4 linked regions of the Drosophila melanogaster genome follow. The protein of the gene in region 1 interacts with the protein of each later gene in a pairwise test. Each region holds a gene or a part of one and is shown in the gene's direction. Other genes may lie near its edges. The genes, in order: Tspo, Vti1b, CG9628 and CG4686.

What was found.
Region 2: the proteins of Tspo (region 1) and Vti1b interact in a two-hybrid assay, tested with the Drosophila melanogaster proteins (one large-scale study listed by BioGRID).
Region 3: the proteins of Tspo (region 1) and CG9628 interact in a two-hybrid assay, tested with the Drosophila melanogaster proteins (one large-scale study listed by BioGRID).
Region 4: the proteins of Tspo (region 1) and CG4686 interact in a two-hybrid assay, tested with the Drosophila melanogaster proteins (one large-scale study listed by BioGRID).

What each region holds. Positions count from the first base shown.
Region 1 is NT_033779.5:557,972-561,079, forward strand, and holds Tspo (translocator protein), read left to right. Parts: upstream 1-1,640; 5' UTR 1,641-1,727; coding exon 1,728-2,066; exon of another isoform or gene 2,067-2,125; coding exon 2,126-2,344; 3' UTR 2,345-2,552; downstream 2,553-3,108. Other genes in the region: rempA (reduced mechanoreceptor potential A), read right to left, coding at 1-570, 645-791; uncNacbeta (putative nascent polypeptide-associated complex beta subunit), read right to left, coding at 2,823-3,108.
Region 2 is NT_033777.3:18,398,144-18,400,865, forward strand, and holds Vti1b (vesicle transport through interaction with t-SNAREs 1b), read left to right. Parts: upstream 1-1,565; 5' UTR 1,566-1,648; coding exon 1,649-1,807; intron 1,808-1,867; coding exon 1,868-2,077; 3' UTR 2,078-2,196; downstream 2,197-2,722. Other genes in the region: Wdr37 (WD repeat domain 37), read right to left, coding at 2,684-2,722.
Region 3 is NT_037436.4:14,620,926-14,628,674, forward strand, and holds CG9628 (uncharacterized protein), read left to right. Parts: upstream 1-1,870; 5' UTR 1,871-1,982; exon of another isoform or gene 1,983-2,108; intron 2,109-5,915; 5' UTR 5,916-5,947; coding exon 5,948-5,969; intron 5,970-6,094; coding exon 6,095-6,201; intron 6,202-6,409; coding exon 6,410-6,570; intron 6,571-6,630; coding exon 6,631-6,868; 3' UTR 6,869-7,249; downstream 7,250-7,749. Other genes in the region: shd (shade), read left to right, coding at 1-127, 256-471, 548-658; RecQ5 helicase, read right to left, coding at 7,376-7,479, 7,538-7,749.
Region 4 is NT_033777.3:19,862,598-19,867,402, forward strand, and holds CG4686 (uncharacterized protein), read left to right. Parts: upstream 1-1,898; 5' UTR 1,899-2,235; coding exon 2,236-2,328; intron 2,329-2,391; coding exon 2,392-2,700; intron 2,701-2,819; exon of another isoform or gene 2,820-3,816; coding exon 3,817-3,960; 3' UTR 3,961-4,272; downstream 4,273-4,805. Other genes in the region: CG4572 (uncharacterized protein), read right to left, coding at 125-1,573.

The sequences.
Region 1 (3,108 bases):
GGGAGGCAGTGATCCGCACTTCATCACCTCGACACAGGCGCCTCCTTGGTTGATGTAGTACACCACTCCTCCTTGGGTGCAAGCGTAGAAGCAGTGGTTGTCCCGCACCCCCGAATGGGTCATGCTCCGGGCTGCTGTGCGCGGTCTCCAATTGGTTAGGGTGTCCAGGGCGTTCTCATCGCCTGCCACAGCAGCCTTGGCTAGATTGGCCATCTCCTCGCGCACCTCACTCTCCACCGTAAGGCGGAAGCAGATCAGCAGCAACACCTCCCGCAGGTCGTGGGAGAACATGGTTAGGAACTGGTACTGGCCATCGCAGCGCCATCCGGTGACCAAGCCCATGGCATCCGCCGTGACCATCCGCCCGCCCTGCTCGCTGAACTGCAGCAGGACGATGGCCGCCTTGTGCGGTGCGTTCACGCTGGCAAACTCCCTGTGACCAGCGAACCACACATGGATGTCGCCGTGCTCCCAACCGCTGGCCAGGAGCGCCTTCTCCGGATGCCAGCATAGTGCCGTCGCTTGCGAAGTGGCGTGCACCGGATAAGTTACATCTCGCTGGGGCTCACCCTGCAATTTGATTATATAGATTATATACATTCCGATTTTTGGCAGGGTCTGCGACCAAAGCGATTAATACTGACGGTATCTGCAAAGATGGTCACTGAACCGCCTCTTTCGGGACTAAAAGAGGCCACTGCGAAGAGCGGCTCACTGGGATGCCAGCTGCTGATGGTGCTCACTGCATCCGAGTCCAAGAACTCGATTTTCGTGTCAAAGTAGAGAGTCATCACACCGGTTTTCCACCTTTAGTGGATGAATTTGTTTTGGCAGGAGCCAAAACACAGTAACAATGTGTTTGCCTAGCAACGGTTGTCATGGTTGCTCCTAAGCAATTGATTAATTGAGATACCAACTTGATCCAGGTTATTGGATATTGCAAAGAGCAAATAAGCACAATAGTTTTATTTCACCATTAATTCACTTTACCGACAAATAACTCTTTGGTTTATGAGTTCTCAAGTTATCATTCACCACTTGATCGCACGATTTGTCATGGGGTAAAACAAACAAACAAGCTAAACAAAACTTTTCCAGGGAATTTAATATGGTACTTCCCAACAATACAGTTCTATTTCTATTTTCAAAACTTAACGGGTTTTGTTAAATCTGCCTACCCACAGGGTGATTCCGACACCCAGCAGCGAAGATAATTTTAAATAAATACGAATGGGTAGATATAATTATAATAATTACTTCCATAGATCGACGACATTACTCATTCATTACATCATTTTGGAATCTATTGATAAGCATTATGCTCCTCCCCTGCACATGTGACAACCAGCTATTAACGGCTTAGCAATGACTTTGCAGCTTTGCCAAAATTCCAGATAAATATTAAATCCCTATTAATCAGATAGCATGTTAAAGAAAAACATGAGAATTCCTTCATGGCAGAAATCAAATGTTCACAGCTCTAAATAACCATGCGATTCTATTAATTAATTCTAGCGTCTTTGATTTCAAGTTGCATTCCACATACTTTAGCTAGTTTAAATCTAGCCAAATTGGCATCGCTGGAGCTTACCCACACAATCATCCGTCGCGTATTCGCCCCGTTAACTCGCAATACTCGTGCATTCGAATGAAATCACCGGCAAACAAAACAGTGAAACCAGAAGGTTCGCCACTACTGCGCCTCATTTGCAGTGCGAACTCTGAAAATGGCTGATCGTCCGTGTGCTGGAAACATTCTCCGCATCGCCGGGGCCGTGATTCTGCCCAATCTGGGCGGCATCTATAACGGGCGGCTGACCAGGCAGCATCTCCAGAGCTGGTACGCCAACCTTAAGTTCCCGTCCTTCAAGCCGCCCAACTCGGTCTTTGCGCCGATGTGGATCTCCTTGTACGCGGGAATGGGCTACGGCTCCTACCTGGTGTGGCGTGATGGCGGAGGCTTCGCCGGCGAGGCGGCCAAACTGCCCCTGATCGCGTACGGCACCCAGCTGGCCTTGAACTGGGCGTGGACGCCCATTTTCTTCGGGCAGCACAACATCAAGGGCGTGAGTACTGCTGATATCACCAAGCCCAGGTGTTATGTCTAATCCGCTTCATCCACCAGGGCCTTATTGACATAGTTGCACTCACGGCCGCCGCGTCCGCCTGCGGCGTTCTGTTCTACCGAGTGAACAAGACCGCTGGATTGCTCTTCGTACCCTACGTCGCCTGGCTGGGATTCGCGACGGCTCTGAACTACGCCATCTGGAAGCTGAACCCGGAGAAGGAGCAGGCGCCCAAGGACGAGGAGAAGCCCTCTAGCAGCCACGCTAAGTCGAGTTAAGCCCAGGATAAACGAAAAACAAGTAATTTTGGGTGTCTTTCATGCAAATTGCAGGGCTTTCCGACCTATCGAACCAGGGCTGGGCAAAGTTGGATAAAATATCGATAAGCAGTGCCTCCAATGGGGCGCTAAATTCAAAGTATCATATGCTGCTGCACGTTCAAAAATTCCCTATGTGTTATGTGTTAATAATAAATTAAAGAATCGTAATTTTCAATGCTATTCTCGAGAACGATTAATAGGCTACAATTTGTTGTGACATTGCAATGGAATAACCAAAGATATTGAGAAAGAATTTCTCGATTCACTTCAGTCTTTGTTAAATCATAATTTTATTCAAAAATGTAAAGGCCACAAATAATCAAAAAACGGTTAGTACCCGGGTTCATCAGAGATTAACGAAGGCGAAAATGGGCTCTGAAAATGCGAGTGAGTTTGAAATGCAAGGGCGCCGATTAGAAAATAGACTGAAGGAGGATCAGTTGGGACCCCCAGAGGCGGAAGCAGGATTGGTAGGAGTTCCGGCCTTCGGGGAGGTGGCTTTTGGGGATGCAGCCGATTTCGGGGAGGCTGTGGCCTTCGAGGCGTTCGCCGCCGACTTCTGCTGCCCCCCAGTTGGTCCAGTTTGCTTTGGAGGAGACGCTTTGTTAGCTGCTTTTCCCTGCTGTTGTTGTGGATTCGTCTGGTTGGGGGATGCTTTTGGAGAAGCAGCAGCGGGTTTTGGAGTGGCCTGGGCCGGCTTTGGAGCAACTGCTGGCTTGGCA
Region 2 (2,722 bases), on another chromosome or scaffold:
CTGGACGATCGACCAGGAGCACTTGTGTGCAACTCGGCAAAATACTATACTTCAGATGTGAAATTGCTAGATTTCTAGAATCGATCAGATTTTCCCCATTCATAAACTGGGTCTGCGACTGTGGCTAATCAGCGCAATACTGATTGATCGATTGGAAGTGCCATTGGACAATTTATAGAGCGATCCATAAATCATAATCGACTGGTATTTATTGTGCGCTATTCGCAACTACTCGAGCCCAGCTTTTAGGGTTTCCGTTCCAGCTGGAGATCTTTGTGGGGACGCAAGGCTTCTGGAAACCGAGACCCCGAGAAAAAGATCACATGATAGAACCCCCCCATATGATTATGATGATTGCATAAAACTCGAAAACTCGCGACTTTGCAAAGAGAGCGCGACTCACAGATACTCTGGAGAGTATTATATTCACATGACAAGGGTTCGACTAACACACACACACACTGCGAACGTAGTAGGTGCGTACCTGAGTATCTCAGAGATACTCGGGGCTTACGAAAGAGATAGCGCTACGCGTATCTGCCGCTCTGACTTTAGCTGCGACTTCTGGCAGGTGTTTGCACAATGGGTCCCATGACAGGTGTGCCCCGCAGCCCCCAGTAAGCTCACTTTTCCGACCAGTAGCTGTCAGCAGCCAGCATCACGTGCCAAAGTGCATTCAAATTGGGCTTAATTGCACATACTCCCTGCTGCCAAAGCACGTGCTTTGGATGGCTAGTTTACAGGGGATATGGGATATATACGGGTGGATAACCCGTGGCACAGCTTTTACACCTCGAACCCGCCGGGTTTTTCCAGTTGCTTCGAGTTTTTTCGAGTTTTTCGCTTACCTTCACAGCTCCGAAAACGCTTTTTATGTCAAAGACACACCAGATTCGATTCCCCGCGAGTGCGAGCGATAAATTTAGAACTTGTTTGTTGCCGAGCGAGAGTATCTTTATTCGAATCTGAATCTGAATGGAGCGCAGCACACGTCTGCTCACCGCCAGCGATCGACTGCGTTTAAATTTGGCACTCGCTGCCGCGACTTCGGTTCGAAAATCTCGCGATCGCCTCGAAATGCCTCGCACTCTCTGTTACTCAGCACACACACCCTGTGAATTCAGGCGGCTCTCTCGGCGCGGGCATGCCAACTATGTATGATCGGTGACCGTTATCGCAAATCAGAAATCGACAAATACCCGTACTAAAGTCAAAATCCTCGAGTGCTACATGTGTCTACCAAAAAAATGGTCAGTTTCCAAAAACCTAATCACTCTTAGGATCACCCAATTAATCACCATTAATATGTGATATTTTTGCAGTAACTAGATGTGCTTGTTGATAGTGAGGAAGCCAATCTCAAAAAAAAACCAATTGAACTAACACTTCTTACAATTTAAACTTTTAATTAGAATTTAGAATATAAAATAATATTAAGCTAATTTGGTAACAGTTTCATTTTAAATTTCAACTGTTTTAAGTGCTGTAAAGTGCATAAAGTGTTAACAGGTGGCTCCACGCACAACGCGTTAGTACCTTACCAAATAGCGTTTTCACTGCACCGCTCACCACGGCCACACTCTGCCTTTGTTTTGTTTTGATATTCCCACTGCATCGCATTTAATTTATTAAAAGCTGTTACCAAATTATGTCCTACGCCGGCTATAGCCAGCTGCCCAGCGGCAGCGACCAGGAGCGCAGGCAGGCGCAGCTCGCGGCCAGCACCTACGACGTGCTACAGCGGACGACGGACAGTATCCAGCGATCCAACCAGATTGCCATCGAAACGGAGAACATGGGGGCGGAGGTAATTACCCAGATAGTAGCCATTAACAGGGCTAACTAATGCTCGCTTACGCATCAACAGGTACTCGGCGAACTGGGCGAGCAGAGGGAGTCGCTGCTACGCACCACGCGCCGCCTGGAGGACGCCGATCAGGATCTGTCCAAATCGAGGGTCATCATTCGGAAGTTGAGCAGGGAGGTGCTCTACAACAAGATCATCCTAATCCTGATTATCATTCTGGAGGTGGGCATACTCGTCGGCTTGCTGGTGCTGAAGTTCGCTCACCTGTGAGCCAATGCCATTCTATTCCAAAGTCGTAACCACCAAACAGGCGATGGACTATATATACCTATTAATCGTTACGAATTCTTTGTCCTAGTTAATAAGCTTATAAATGTATATACTCCACTAAAATGCACTTCCAATTCAAAAAGGTCAGTTTTAGGATATACCCAGCGATGAATCGGGTGGTTGATTATGTTTATTCATGTTGGCTAAAGCGTTAATGCCTTAGACGTCTATAATATGTATTATGGTAGTAAAACACAGATAAAATCGGGTCTGGACATCGGAAGCTCTGCACTCCGAAGAGTTTAGCCCAGTCCCAACGCATATACATACGTATGCTATAACAATGATAATATGTAGTTCGTGCAGCACGCTATGCCACGACTATTTGGCAAAAAGCAACGTTAATTACATTCAGTGGGCGACAACGAGATAGTAGAACATCCTGAACAATGTCTGCATAATACTTGATCTATGATAAACGGTTACATATATGTAAGTATGTGGGCATCGCTTTGGGGATGCTTCTTTGTTCGAGAGATGTTTGGGATTTCGCAGAGCTGCGCCTCCTCATTCCTTTGGTGCAGCAGCTCTCCGCTTCAGTTGCCTTCAATTGTCCTTCGGAAGAACGATGGACCAGCCGAAAAC
Region 3 (7,749 bases), on another chromosome or scaffold:
ACTAACGAATGCCACATACACAAAGGCCTGTATACAGGAGTCCTACAGACTGAGGCCCACAGCCTTTTGCCTGGCCAGAATCCTGGAGGAGGACATGGAGCTCTCGGGCTACTCGCTTAATGCAGGGGTAAGTTAAAGCTTAGTTTTCGATCACTCTCACTTTTATTTCCAAGCTTTTGGAATTTACTATTTTATATTTTATTTTTGGAAATAAATATTAGTTTCTCCTATCAATAATTTGTTTCCGATCTTTAGACTGTGGTGCTATGTCAGAATATGATAGCCTGCCACAAGGATAGCAACTTCCAAGGGGCCAAGCAGTTTACCCCAGAGCGTTGGATTGATCCTGCCACGGAGAATTTCACGGTGAACGTGGATAATGCCAGTATTGTGGTGCCCTTCGGCGTGGGTCGAAGATCGTGTCCAGGAAAGCGTTTTGTGGAAATGGAGGTGGTGCTGCTGCTAGCTAAGGTGAGTATAATCCATAAGCCCCAGGGATCGTATTTCTAGGATCACTGACTAAAACAACCAAATTTATCTTTATCAGATGGTCCTAGCCTTTGATGTGAGCTTTGTGAAGCCACTGGAAACGGAGTTCGAGTTCCTGCTGGCACCCAAAACTCCACTCAGTCTAAGACTCAGCGATCGGGTTTTCTGATAATGGGTGCTTTAGAAAACTGATCCGAAAAACAGTGCCTACCCTCAGGCGTTTTGTATCAAATACAACTAAAATAGCTAAGAACTGAACCATTAAGTAAAATTAATGTAAAATATGCTTAGGTTTCTACACATATCTGTATACATATATATGTATATCCTTTATCCCTGATGAGCCAGCATCAGCAGCCTAGTCCTGTGAAGCAATCAAAAAAGAGCTAAACCAATTAAAATAAATTAACAAATTTATGCTGACTGGATGTAAAGTAGATTAGAATGTATATACAAACGTCATGTTTTGTTGTAATTACTTCTTAAATTTATTTTTAGTCGTAGCAAATAACTAGCAGCAATTGTTTTTGAGAGTTCTGTAAACGGAAAGACTGTGTTTAAGTTTTGTTTTTCACGATTTTAACAGTTTTACATATTTTCTGTACATAGTTTCGCAAAAATTTGTCACTCTAATTATGTACAGTTTAACTTTAATTGTATTTATTCAAGTGTTTTTACTGCCTTTGTCTTTATTTCATCTCTACATCTGTGAATATATTTGTTAAAAGAAAACAATAATTAAAGAAAATTAATTACATTAAACAGAAATCAAATGATAAATGTTATAATATAAATTATTGAGTTTCATTTAATAGTTATTTTCTGAGACCCATTATAGCACAGGAGGTTAGCTTTCTCGCCTTTTTATTTTAAAAATGCATTTTTCATCATACAATGGTGAGACTTATTTAGACCTATGTTTTATTGTAGTTATTTTTGTTTTCTTTGGCAAATACTAAACACACACTAAATGACCCTAAATATCTTTATTTTTTTTTTTAAATTTGTATGGTACCGATTTTAGGTTTCGGTTGACGTCTTTACTATTATAGCAGGGAAATTTCATAAAAGCTTTCAACAGTCGCTTCCCACTAAGCTGGGCTTTGTTTTTAAAATGTTTTTTTTTAAACCAACGACACAATTTTACTTCAAAATTTAATAGAGCATTTAAGTTTCAAACAAAACTCGAGATTAAATTGTTTGCATACATGGCGTGCATGTGCTAATTTTTAAGCCGCCATAATATGACTTAATATTTGTTCAGCAAGCGTTGACACACGTCTTGGGAATAATTCTCATTGGGAAATATTCTCTTATTTTTGGGCTGTGGCTCAATAGCTCGTTTGGCGGGCTTTGGATTCGGTTTTGGGTTCAGGTTACAACAGTTGTCGTTGGCGTGTCGTCGGTTTCAGAGGTTTTTTGAAAGACGGTTTTTAAAAAACCAATTTCCGCTCTGAGTCGCAGTTTAAACTGAACTACTGAAACTATTTAACGCGCGTGAAAGAATTCATTGATTTATCTGTGTATTTAGTGTGAGATATAACTTAACAGCTAACCCAAATCATTTGGCTGCACTTGTGTACCGCACCTATCTGCAACTCAACGAAAATTTGAAAAATGTAATATAATAACCCAAAAATGAAATTCTGAGTAAAAACTAAAACTAGTTTGTCGTTTGCTCGGCAGTTACTAATGTTTAAACAAGTTGAAAATGCACTAAACAAGAAAACGTAAAATTTGTTCAGCTTCCGTTGAAGTTTTGATTCTCCCCCAAAGATCTTCTCATACGAATGGAGTCTGTGAGATCGGAGGGCCCCACCCAGAGCTAATTGTACAGTAAACAAGCACAGATACAACAATAACTACATCAGCAAGACGATCGCAGTAGTTTGTTGTTATTGTTAGACATGCTAATTTTGCACAATCTACACACAACACTACACTGGCTAACACAAATTAGTTTGTTTAATGTGACTCACTGACAATTTTCTCACCATCAATGCGGCCCCTTCCCTTTGATGCAGCTTTAATTAGGTGACAAATACTGGGGTTTATAAAGCGAAAAAACAGATATCTTACGTTGGCGTAAAAAAACAATTAGGTAGTGCTCAACTAAAGTATACGAATTCTTGGAGCACTTACGAGCAGTTATTAAGTTAATGAGCTTTTTAATTTCTTTACCGTTCTTGAAAACACATTAAATATTTGAACGCTGTTAGTTCAAAATCTGTCAATATGTAAACAATATGGCAAAAACTCTGAACCCAGTTGTTGTTTATATTAGCACTCAATTACACGTTCCCTTTTGCTAACTGAACCCTTTCGATTCAATACCAATATCATTTATGGGCACTGACCTTCAATGACAGGCCCGACACGAAACAATAACAGTGACAGTAACGCCAGTACACTCATGGTAAATCCCGACGAGCCTTGGCCAATTGCTTTGGCATTGAATTTACCAACAACCCCTAAGGGAGTCGCCTAGAAAACTCCCCCAAGCACCAACCACCCTCGTAAGCCCACATCGCAAAATGTTGCATGTTTTAGCCCCAAACCAAATGTTTCCCCATACCAAACGTGGTGTGGGTCTCAATGGGGTCAAAGGCAAGTGCAGTAGCAATAGATATTGTAGGAATATCTAAATAATTTGCAAAAATGCCGCCATGAACATTGCTTTTCAAGTTGTAAGGCTTCAAAATTCCCATTCATAAGATTTATGGCTTGCCATTACTTTTTGTTTACAACAGTATTAAGTAAAGTGATAACAAAAATATTGTCAACAAAACGTAAGGATATTACTCTCTAAAACCATAAAATAAAATAAATACAAAATTTTACATTATAGATTTTTTTTAAACGCTTTCTGATTGATTGAGGACACATCTTAGTTTAATTAAAAAAAAAATAATTGGTTATATGTAAAAGTTAAACGCGAAAATGATTCCTCTTGGTACAATATATACATACCCTCTATGGGTATTGACCGTGTTTGGAAAATGCAGCTGGAAAATCGCGAACTGCCCTTCGCGGGCAGTAAAAACTATGGCGATGACCAAGTACAGTAGGCGCCTTTTGCATATATGTATTTGTGTTTCAGGTGGTTCTGCCCTCTCACTCCCCCATCGTCCGTCCCTGTCGCTCTCGCCTGCAACCAGTTTGCAGTTGTGCATATCAATGCAAGTGATGGGTGAGGGTTAAGACACGCGCGGGGGGCAAAAAAGGGGGCGGTAAGCAAACAAGTTTTGTTGCATTTTTCAATTGCCCAAGACTGCGATTGAAAGCTGAGAAATACAGATAGTACAGATGATGTAGCTCTTTGGATCTCTGGTTGTCCGGAAATGAGAGATATAAACCCAAGTTAAGATGGGAATGGCTTAAACAAATTCTTTGGATAGAATCGAAGAACCAAAACAAAAACGGAGAATCGAGTCATTGACCCAAAACTCAGACCAGTTATAGGGCTGCTTAGTGTGAAACAGTCCCTTTTGAGCCTGAAAGCGAAACGAGGTTAATTCACAGTGCTGGCCACTAAATTATGCCTACCTTTCGAGAGAAAATATCCCCTTTAAAATACGCAGGTGTGGCAGGTAGTCGAACTCTTAGATCCTCTCTTTAAGCCAAATGCTCTTTTTTCTAAAACAAGTTTTCTTAGCCAATACGTTTTGTTTACCTTTTTTTCAGCTTCGTGGCTTGTTGCGTGTGTTTTGTTTGGTTTCTGCTTTTTGGGCTTTCTTCTAAGCGCCGCCAAAGAAAACTTGTTTATTTTTTTTGGTTCAAAGGGGTGCTGCGGGGGGTGTTCGAGTGTGGGCCAAAACGTGAAGCACTCGTTAGCAACAACACGCAAGCAGTTATTCACTGAAATTCCCATCTTGGAGAGCCACATACTCGAAAATTAGTGGGGAGATTTAACGGGTAGAGAATTGGCTTAAAAGAAATCTATTATATATGTTTATATATACAATTCTGTTTTACAATAAAGTGAACAACTAAAGTTTAAAACTTTTTGATATAAACCTAAACTTTTATATATTTGGTTTGATGTGGAGAGTTACTGTTAGTATATGAAATTATCACTTTGGATTCAAATAGATTAATACAAAAAGCTAACTACATTCCACTGCTTTCAATAGTGGTAGTTTTCTTTACCCATTTGCTGTTTACCTTTGCAACCAGAACCTAGACACTAAAATGTTTATTAGCTCCGAGCCCTCGTTTTGTAAATAGGGAGTGTCTTGGGCCCATTTTTATCATTTTCCCTCCATTTTTCTCTACAGCTCTTTCCCATCTCACTCCCTTTCACATTTTCCCCCTCCCCGAACGCAGTGAAAGTTGTGCGTGGCCCTTTTTTAGGGTTTGTGTTGAGTTTCCAGTTTCATTTCGAGTTTGACTTATTTTTTCTGGTTCCCCGCCCCCCCCTCACATTTTAATTGTTGTTTATGGGGTTACGCATCGTGGGGTTAACTAGCACAGTTCCCTACTCTTTGTCCGCCCCTTCACTTTTGCTGAACGTGCCTTTGGCTAATATTGGGATTTTATGCTTTGTTCTTTATGTGATGCAATTAGCTTCAATCAATGGGGGGACCATTGTTGCCCATGAAGTGGAGATCCAATTCCCCACTTTATACACGGCAAAAACGAGTTACCGGTTATGATAACCCAGAAAATCATTTAAGCTGAATTCCAAGTAAATTTCAATAGTATGCAAATATTTGATATTAAAGAATCCAATAATAGAGAACTTCTAAATTATGAGTGGCATTCGTTTAAACTTTTTTTTGGAAAAATTCTCTCTTGATATACAGAAATTGGTTACTTTCCGGTTCGATACACTTATTTTTTAGTGTAGAATCAGAATAAAGAACTATATATCAAAACAGGTGTTGAATTGTGTCCAAAAGAGGTGACAATTGAGCGACAGTAGCTTCATTGTCGGTATGCAATTAATGATTGAAAATAATGGAATTATAGATGACGGTTCACAAGACAGCGATTATAGTTGGATTTATTATTCATACGACTTTTTGATGCAAACTCACGTAGGCTGCTCGCATTCCCAGGTTGAATTTGGTATGCATCTCGGCACCTCGCTGTCGAATATAGCCCCATATGTTCATAGATACATAGATATATACCCCACCCAAAAGTCCCACACACCCAATATATGAGATCATCGCAGAATGTGCCCTTAATCAATTCGGTCTGCAACTGGATGTATTTCATGTGGGAGAGGAAGACCTTCGGCCATCAATTGACACAAATCCACAACAGAACGTAGATTGTTCGGTTTTACTCGTTTGCACGCTCCACTGACCATCCAATAACAAATATCCGATAACCCAGACATGGAGGCCAAAAATGGCCACTAAACCCGACTTTAACTGAACACTAAAAAGCCAAAATTGAAGATTCCGTTTCCTCTGTAGGTCGAAAACGTATCCAAATCAGACTCTGCAAAATGAGCTACTTGCGATCGATAGGTACATATACAATAAGTTTTATTGTCATTCTTTCCTCGCTCCGAGCAAATGTCAAAGTGGCCAAAATACCAATTGATATAGTATAGTGTTCTTTAATTAATTAATTGTTTAATTGCTCGGTGCAGAAATCTCACGCGTCGAAATGTCGCCGGCTGACGATAATTCCTTTGCCACAACTCATGGAAACAAAAAGGCCACCTACACGGTGATATGCATCAAGATTGTGGAACTGGTGAGTTTTTGTTAAATTTAAATACTCCTTTAAATGGAAATCTTTTGAATAACTTTTAAAAATCAGATAAGAAACTAGTTTCATGGTGTCCAATTACATTTTATAAAGATTCAGCATTTTGAGACGGCTTCCCAGTAATGCCTAAATTGTTAAAAAAAATGATTAAAAACACAAATAATTTATGAAAACTATTCGTCGTTTCCCATAGTGCCTGCTTATATGCTGTTTGGGTCTGATCGACGAGCCGGCCACCAATTCTCATCTGCGGGTGTTCATCACTCCCCGAGTGGCTTCCCTTTGCTATGTGACCTTTGGAGCACTGACCATCTACACGGCAATCTATCTGATAATGGCGCTCTTCGGTGATTTGTATGCTTAAAGTTTGATTTAATTAAAATGCTAGTACTGATATATTTAATGTACACATAGGACTCCATGGCGTACGGCTACTTTGTGGAATCTAGTGGCCTTTGTGCTCTTCGTGGCCGTAACCGCCCTGCTTTTCCGGGATTGGTCCACCACCAAGGATCGCAACTACTGGCACCCGAATATGCATCGTTTGGATCTCGTGATGGCTTCCGCCTCGATTGCCTTGGTTACCTCGCTGGTCTTCTTGCTGGACATACTCATCACCCTGCGTTTAGGTGTCCACGGTGATCTAGAATGACATGGTCGATCCCGTGAAGTTTGGCGAGAAAGAGATATACATTCGATTCTCGCCTAGCGTGGACTGTAATATTTATAGCTCCAGCTTAGAAGTAAGAGCCCCGTTCACATACCCGTCTCCCAGCTAATTGTAATCCCACAAGAAAACAAATTGCCATCATCGAATCGAAAATGTACAAAATCGACGTCCGAGGAGGTTTAAAGTTCTTAATCGGCTGCCCTGTTTTGTTTTTTTTATAAGCTTAATACATCGAGCATCACGAATGTTATATCTAATTCAATTAATAAATAAGATTCAACGCAAATAAATTTTGTACGAGCGAATAATATCCCAAATTAATAGTTTTTCTATTAAAACTGTCCAAATAAAAACGTCTTATTTAAATGTATTATTGATAATTAATGCGCTTATTATATACAAAAATAGTAACTAACGAAAAAAAAAGATGATGCAACTTTTAACGAGGCGAAACAATATGTCGTGATAAAATCATTAGGAGATTTTTAGTCACTTGGATTTTATGAAATATTTTTCAATGTCCTGATCGTTGTTTATCATCTGCAGGCCATGAAAAGTTTCCTTTATATAGCACTTTCCAGCATCGCCATCTCCTAGAGATTTATGGTCCATTTTAAAGGTATTAACAGACAGGAAGTATGAATATCTTACCTAAGCTTCCATCACAAATGCGCTGAGTGAGCAATTTTGCCAAAGCTTTGAAAAGCTCTTTGGTGGCTATTTTTCGTTTATAATACGGATTGAGCCACTGCACCACATTTTTGCTGACATCTGTTTTTTGATGGTTTCTGGTTTCTGGTTTTGTATCCTTTTGCAAAACTCTGGAGTCGGATCCTTCCTTCTTCAAGTTCGATAACGATTCC
Region 4 (4,805 bases), on another chromosome or scaffold:
CCCAATGCTCTCATCAACATATTTATGCATTCAAAACTCACACCAAATTATTCATGATTAATTTTAAAAACAAAGGCTTAAATTTGGTCTCCAAATTGTACTGAATAGTTTAAGTACGCATTTCCTAGTGCTTGTAATGAGTAAGGTGATCAATCATCATGTACAGCCACTTGGGCTGATCGTGAGGAGCCATGTGCCCGGCATTGCGGACCATGATCTCCACAAGATGTCCGGCGTGCTTGACATAGCCGGCCACTTCCTTCCCAACGCGCCACACTTCGCGGGGAGCCACCTTGTACTTGTCCGAGCCGGGGAACTTTAGTTGGTTGAGATAATTGCGCGTCAGTGGATAGGCAACAATAATGTCTAGCTGCCCGCTGTAGATGCACACAGTATAGTGGGCCAGCAGTTCGGCTATCCACGGGGCCACCGAGTCCATGATATCCTTCTTCAAGTGAAGTTCCACCTTGTTCTCCTTGTCCAGATCATGGAATGTCTTATTGCCCACATGAATTGCCCGCCGAGTGGCGCCCGCCTGCAGAAATTCGCCCAAGTTGGCGCCATCATCATCATGCGTCTTCAAGTAGTTGTAGTACCAGTTGTATCCAGTAAGGTTGCTGAACAGTGAGCCATTGGTAAGGTCCCCGTTGATTAGGGAATCAAATACGTCGAAGGCGCACTCCATGTCGTGACTCTTAATGCATTCAGCACCCTTTGCCTCGGCATCGTGGAAACTCTGCAGTCCGTGCTCGTCGATCAGGCCCAGCTGGTAGAGATAGTCACCGTACTTCAGCTGATGCAGCGGATCCGAGAGACCATTTCCGATGGCCACGCCCTTGAGCGGCACATAGACGCGGGTCTCTATGGCATTTTGTACCTTGTGGATGTGGTAAGCCAGGGCGGGAACGTATTTTCCGGCATAGGACTCGCCGGTGACCCAGAAACCAGAGGAGTTGCTCCACTCGAAGAGTTCGTACAGCTGCATCACAGCCTCGTGCAGATTGCGGCCCACATCCTTCTCGTTCGTAGCATAGCCGGCATCGTTCTCTGTAAAACTAAAGCCAGTGCCCACGGGATTGTCAATGTAGATGAGATTGTGTGTCTTGCTCCAGGTATAGTTGCGTTTCTGAAGCTTCCCATGACCATCCAACTCTAGTGGTCCATTCTCTGTGAACAAACCGAAGAGCGAGGAGGCACCTGGTCCACCCTGAAGCCACAGGACCACTGGCGCATATTCCGGCTCCTGCTCGGCGGGGAAGTACCAGAAGAACATGTTGGATTTGAAGCCAGGGTCCACGGTCAAATAGCCGGAGTAGCTCTCAACGCCATGGAACTGGGAGCCTACGACGCGGGCCAGCTTTTGAACCTCTTGCTTGCTCATCGAAGCATTGTTGATCAGGGGCGTCAGGAACAGGGGCTCCCCGGGATCGACACCATCGTCAAAGAACTGGTAGCGTGGATACGGATTGATGAAGCTCCGCCTGTAGGGGCGTTCCCCCTCTACTCCTTTTGCTCCGCTTATTGCGACTATAGTCGCGATAATTAAAAATGCGCAATGAGTTGCAGTTTTCATTGTTCAACTGCGCTGATTCGACTGAAAAGCGATCGAATTGTCAGTGGTTGCTTTGCTTATTCAGCTTATGTATATGTATTCTTATATTCTTATTATCGCCCCGACCTGCTCACGAATCGGCCGATAAGGGGTTTAAATCAGTTCTCTCACTTGCCTTGCTTTTATTCGCACAGCCGGCGAAAAAATTTAGCTTTCCCAATTGAGCAGCACTGATATTTCAGTGTATCCGCACCGGTCAAACGGTAGGGTTGTCAAGTGAAGCGAATTTATCAGCTGTGATTTTTTACTAAGAGCGACTTCTGAGTTATGGATTGCAAGTAGTTCTTTTGTCGGAATTATTAAAAATAATCATCAACTAACTCTATATTGGTTTAGTTTTTCGCAAATAAATGAAAGCTTGAATTTGAAAGGTTTAACCAGGGATATAAAAGTCTCCAAAGTACCTATATATGTTCTGTTTTGTTGCTTATATCACCATTTCTTCTCACTTCAAATGGTAAGAAATTCTCGTTCCCGAGGCATTCATATTTCTAGAATCCAAACAATTGGCAACATCGAATACAACGGCAGTCCGGCAAGGCCAGGGCATTTTGCGTCAAAATTTGTAGTAGCGCCGCAGCTGATTTTCCATCGCCAAACAAAGTTTGAGCAAACAATACACAATGTCAGTCGCTGACACCATTGAATACGTGACCCTGGGCAATCCTGTCAGCAAGATGGTAGCCTCGTCCGCATCCGCCCTGCTCCGCACGCTTGTAACTAATCGACTTTTCCTAGACAATGTTCCGGATTTATAATTCTTAACTGTCTTCCTGCAGGGTCTGCGTCCCAAGAAGGTGCCGGTGCAGGAGACGAGTATGGCGGTGCTCCCTGCCGCCCACAGCTACGCGCATTCACACGGATCACTCTATCGACTGGCCGGCTGCCATTACCACTTCATTCGGCTGGCCGGGATCGTCGGCGCGTCGGCCATCTTTATGGGCGCCTACTGCAAGTACGTCCTGAAGGACGTCAGCGATCCCAAGGAGCAGGTGGACTCGCAGGCCTTTGCTGATGTGGCCAATCGCATCCACTTTCTGCACTCCTTTGCCATGATGGCCATGCCTCTGGCCCACTATCCCGTATTCGTAAGTTTAAATGGAAAAAGTCAAAATTTGTATTTCGTTGAAGATGTGCCTGGTTAAGTCCTACCTCCGCCAGGCCCATCCTCTGTACTGACCCCAAGGAAACCATTTATCATAATTGATCTCGGTCGTGTATTTGGTTTATTTGTAAAGCTTTCTTTGTTGGTTTGTCATTTACATAAACTCTGTGTAAAGTTAGATCTCTGAACGGAATTTATAACAACTCGCGTTACTCTCGAATCGAAACTCCAACATTGATACTCGAATAATTGACTCTCTGCTTAGCTAGTCTAATGCGCTGATTGACATTACAAAATTGAGCTATGAATGAATATTGATTTGAGCCAAGCGCTTTCTCCAAGTTACTTCTTTATAATATAGGTATGCATATGTATATTTATGTTGTATATGAAATGTTTCCAAAGCTAAAGCTAAATGTTCAACAACCACTAATTGCAGCTTACAAAGTAATTTTCAATACCACACACGATACTTGTATAATAATTGCGTTAATTCGGATAACTCTTAGGTTTGTGATATGAGCAGGTTCATAGCTGATATGGGTTCGGGGTTTTGGGTAGGAATTTGTTGATTTACTCTCTTCATAATTACAATCGTATGTTAAAAATGTACCAAAAAGGCATAGATTTTCTCGTTTTTGCTGTTATCTTGTAATTGGTATTTGTTGTCATCAGCCTTATTTAATAAGTAAAATCTGGGCTTTATCGAGCTCCGTTTTGTCGACGTTTTAAAGCTAACAACTAAAGCTAACACCAAATATGCACTCAAAACGCTGGCCATCTTCGCAAACTTCTACTCCTAGACTATAAACTATAGGGCCTGTTCCGTTTTAGAGTTTTCTGATTAAGAAATGTAAATGCATTTAGATAACAATGTGACTTAAATTTTGGGTAAACTATTTGCAATTTGGAATTTCTTACATATGTATATCTTGATTCCTGACTAAACATTTAAATGCTATAAATTCTTTGCATCCTAAAATCGTTTAATTACAATAGTCGTGCTTAGCTTTTCATATAGATTTCGAGAACAGTGGGGCTTGGAACAGGCCCAAATGACTGTGGTTACTTAAAGTAATTGGTTTATTTCCTCCCGCAGACTGGCACTTTGATGATTACGGGCATGATGCTTTTCAGCGGCTGCATGTACTACCGCGCTTTGACTGGCGAGAAGCGTCTGCAACCGTACGCGACCGTCGGAGGATTCTGCCTGATGGCCGCGTGGCTGTCGCTGGTCCTGTAGGATGCGCGGGGCAGGCCACCTATCTATATTCCATGTAGCACATGCTGAACTGCAATTTAGTGCAGAGGCAAATAAAGCTAAGCCAACTCTAACATACAACATCATCTAACATAATACAACATCAACTAAATATGAGTTACTATATCCGCTTTTAGCCATTATTTACAATAATTATAGTGAGGGCTTTGCAGCTAATGGAAGATACTTTTGAGTTAAATGCGTACAATCTCTTAGTGTATATAGCAGGCTAATGTAAGTCGCTAAATCGTTATAATGAAATAAAACAAATAAAAACGTTTTAACAAAAGAACCAACCGAGCTGTTACATTTATTGTATACCTGTACATTAATAAATTACTATAAAAACACTCATATATTTATACTAGGCGTAACATTTCATAGAATTCTCTTTTAGTTTTTTCTTTTTTTGGGGCTTTTCATTGGGTTTTTTTTTTCTTTAAGGTTGTTATTGTCGTTTTACTGGAACACATAATACAAATGCAATGCGACCTTTTGAAGGCCAATGCACAAAGTTCAGCTAAAATTAATTATTGCACAATTTGCAGTTTATATCAATCTTTCTTTTTTTTAAGGTACAAAAACATTTAGTCCCTACGCTCCTCTAACATCAGCTTATTGTCTTGCTGTTTGATTTCTCATCAGTTTCCTAGTTTTATACACCTGACTAACTATTATTTTGATTTGTACACGTCTTGTAAAAAGTTTCTCAGCGGCAGCTCAGTGGGGATGTCTGCTGGCGCCGCTGATGGCTTGCTATCCTAACAACTTCTGCTTGGAGGCCTCCGCAAAGAGGAAGGTCTTCTGAATGCCCGCATTGGCCGCCG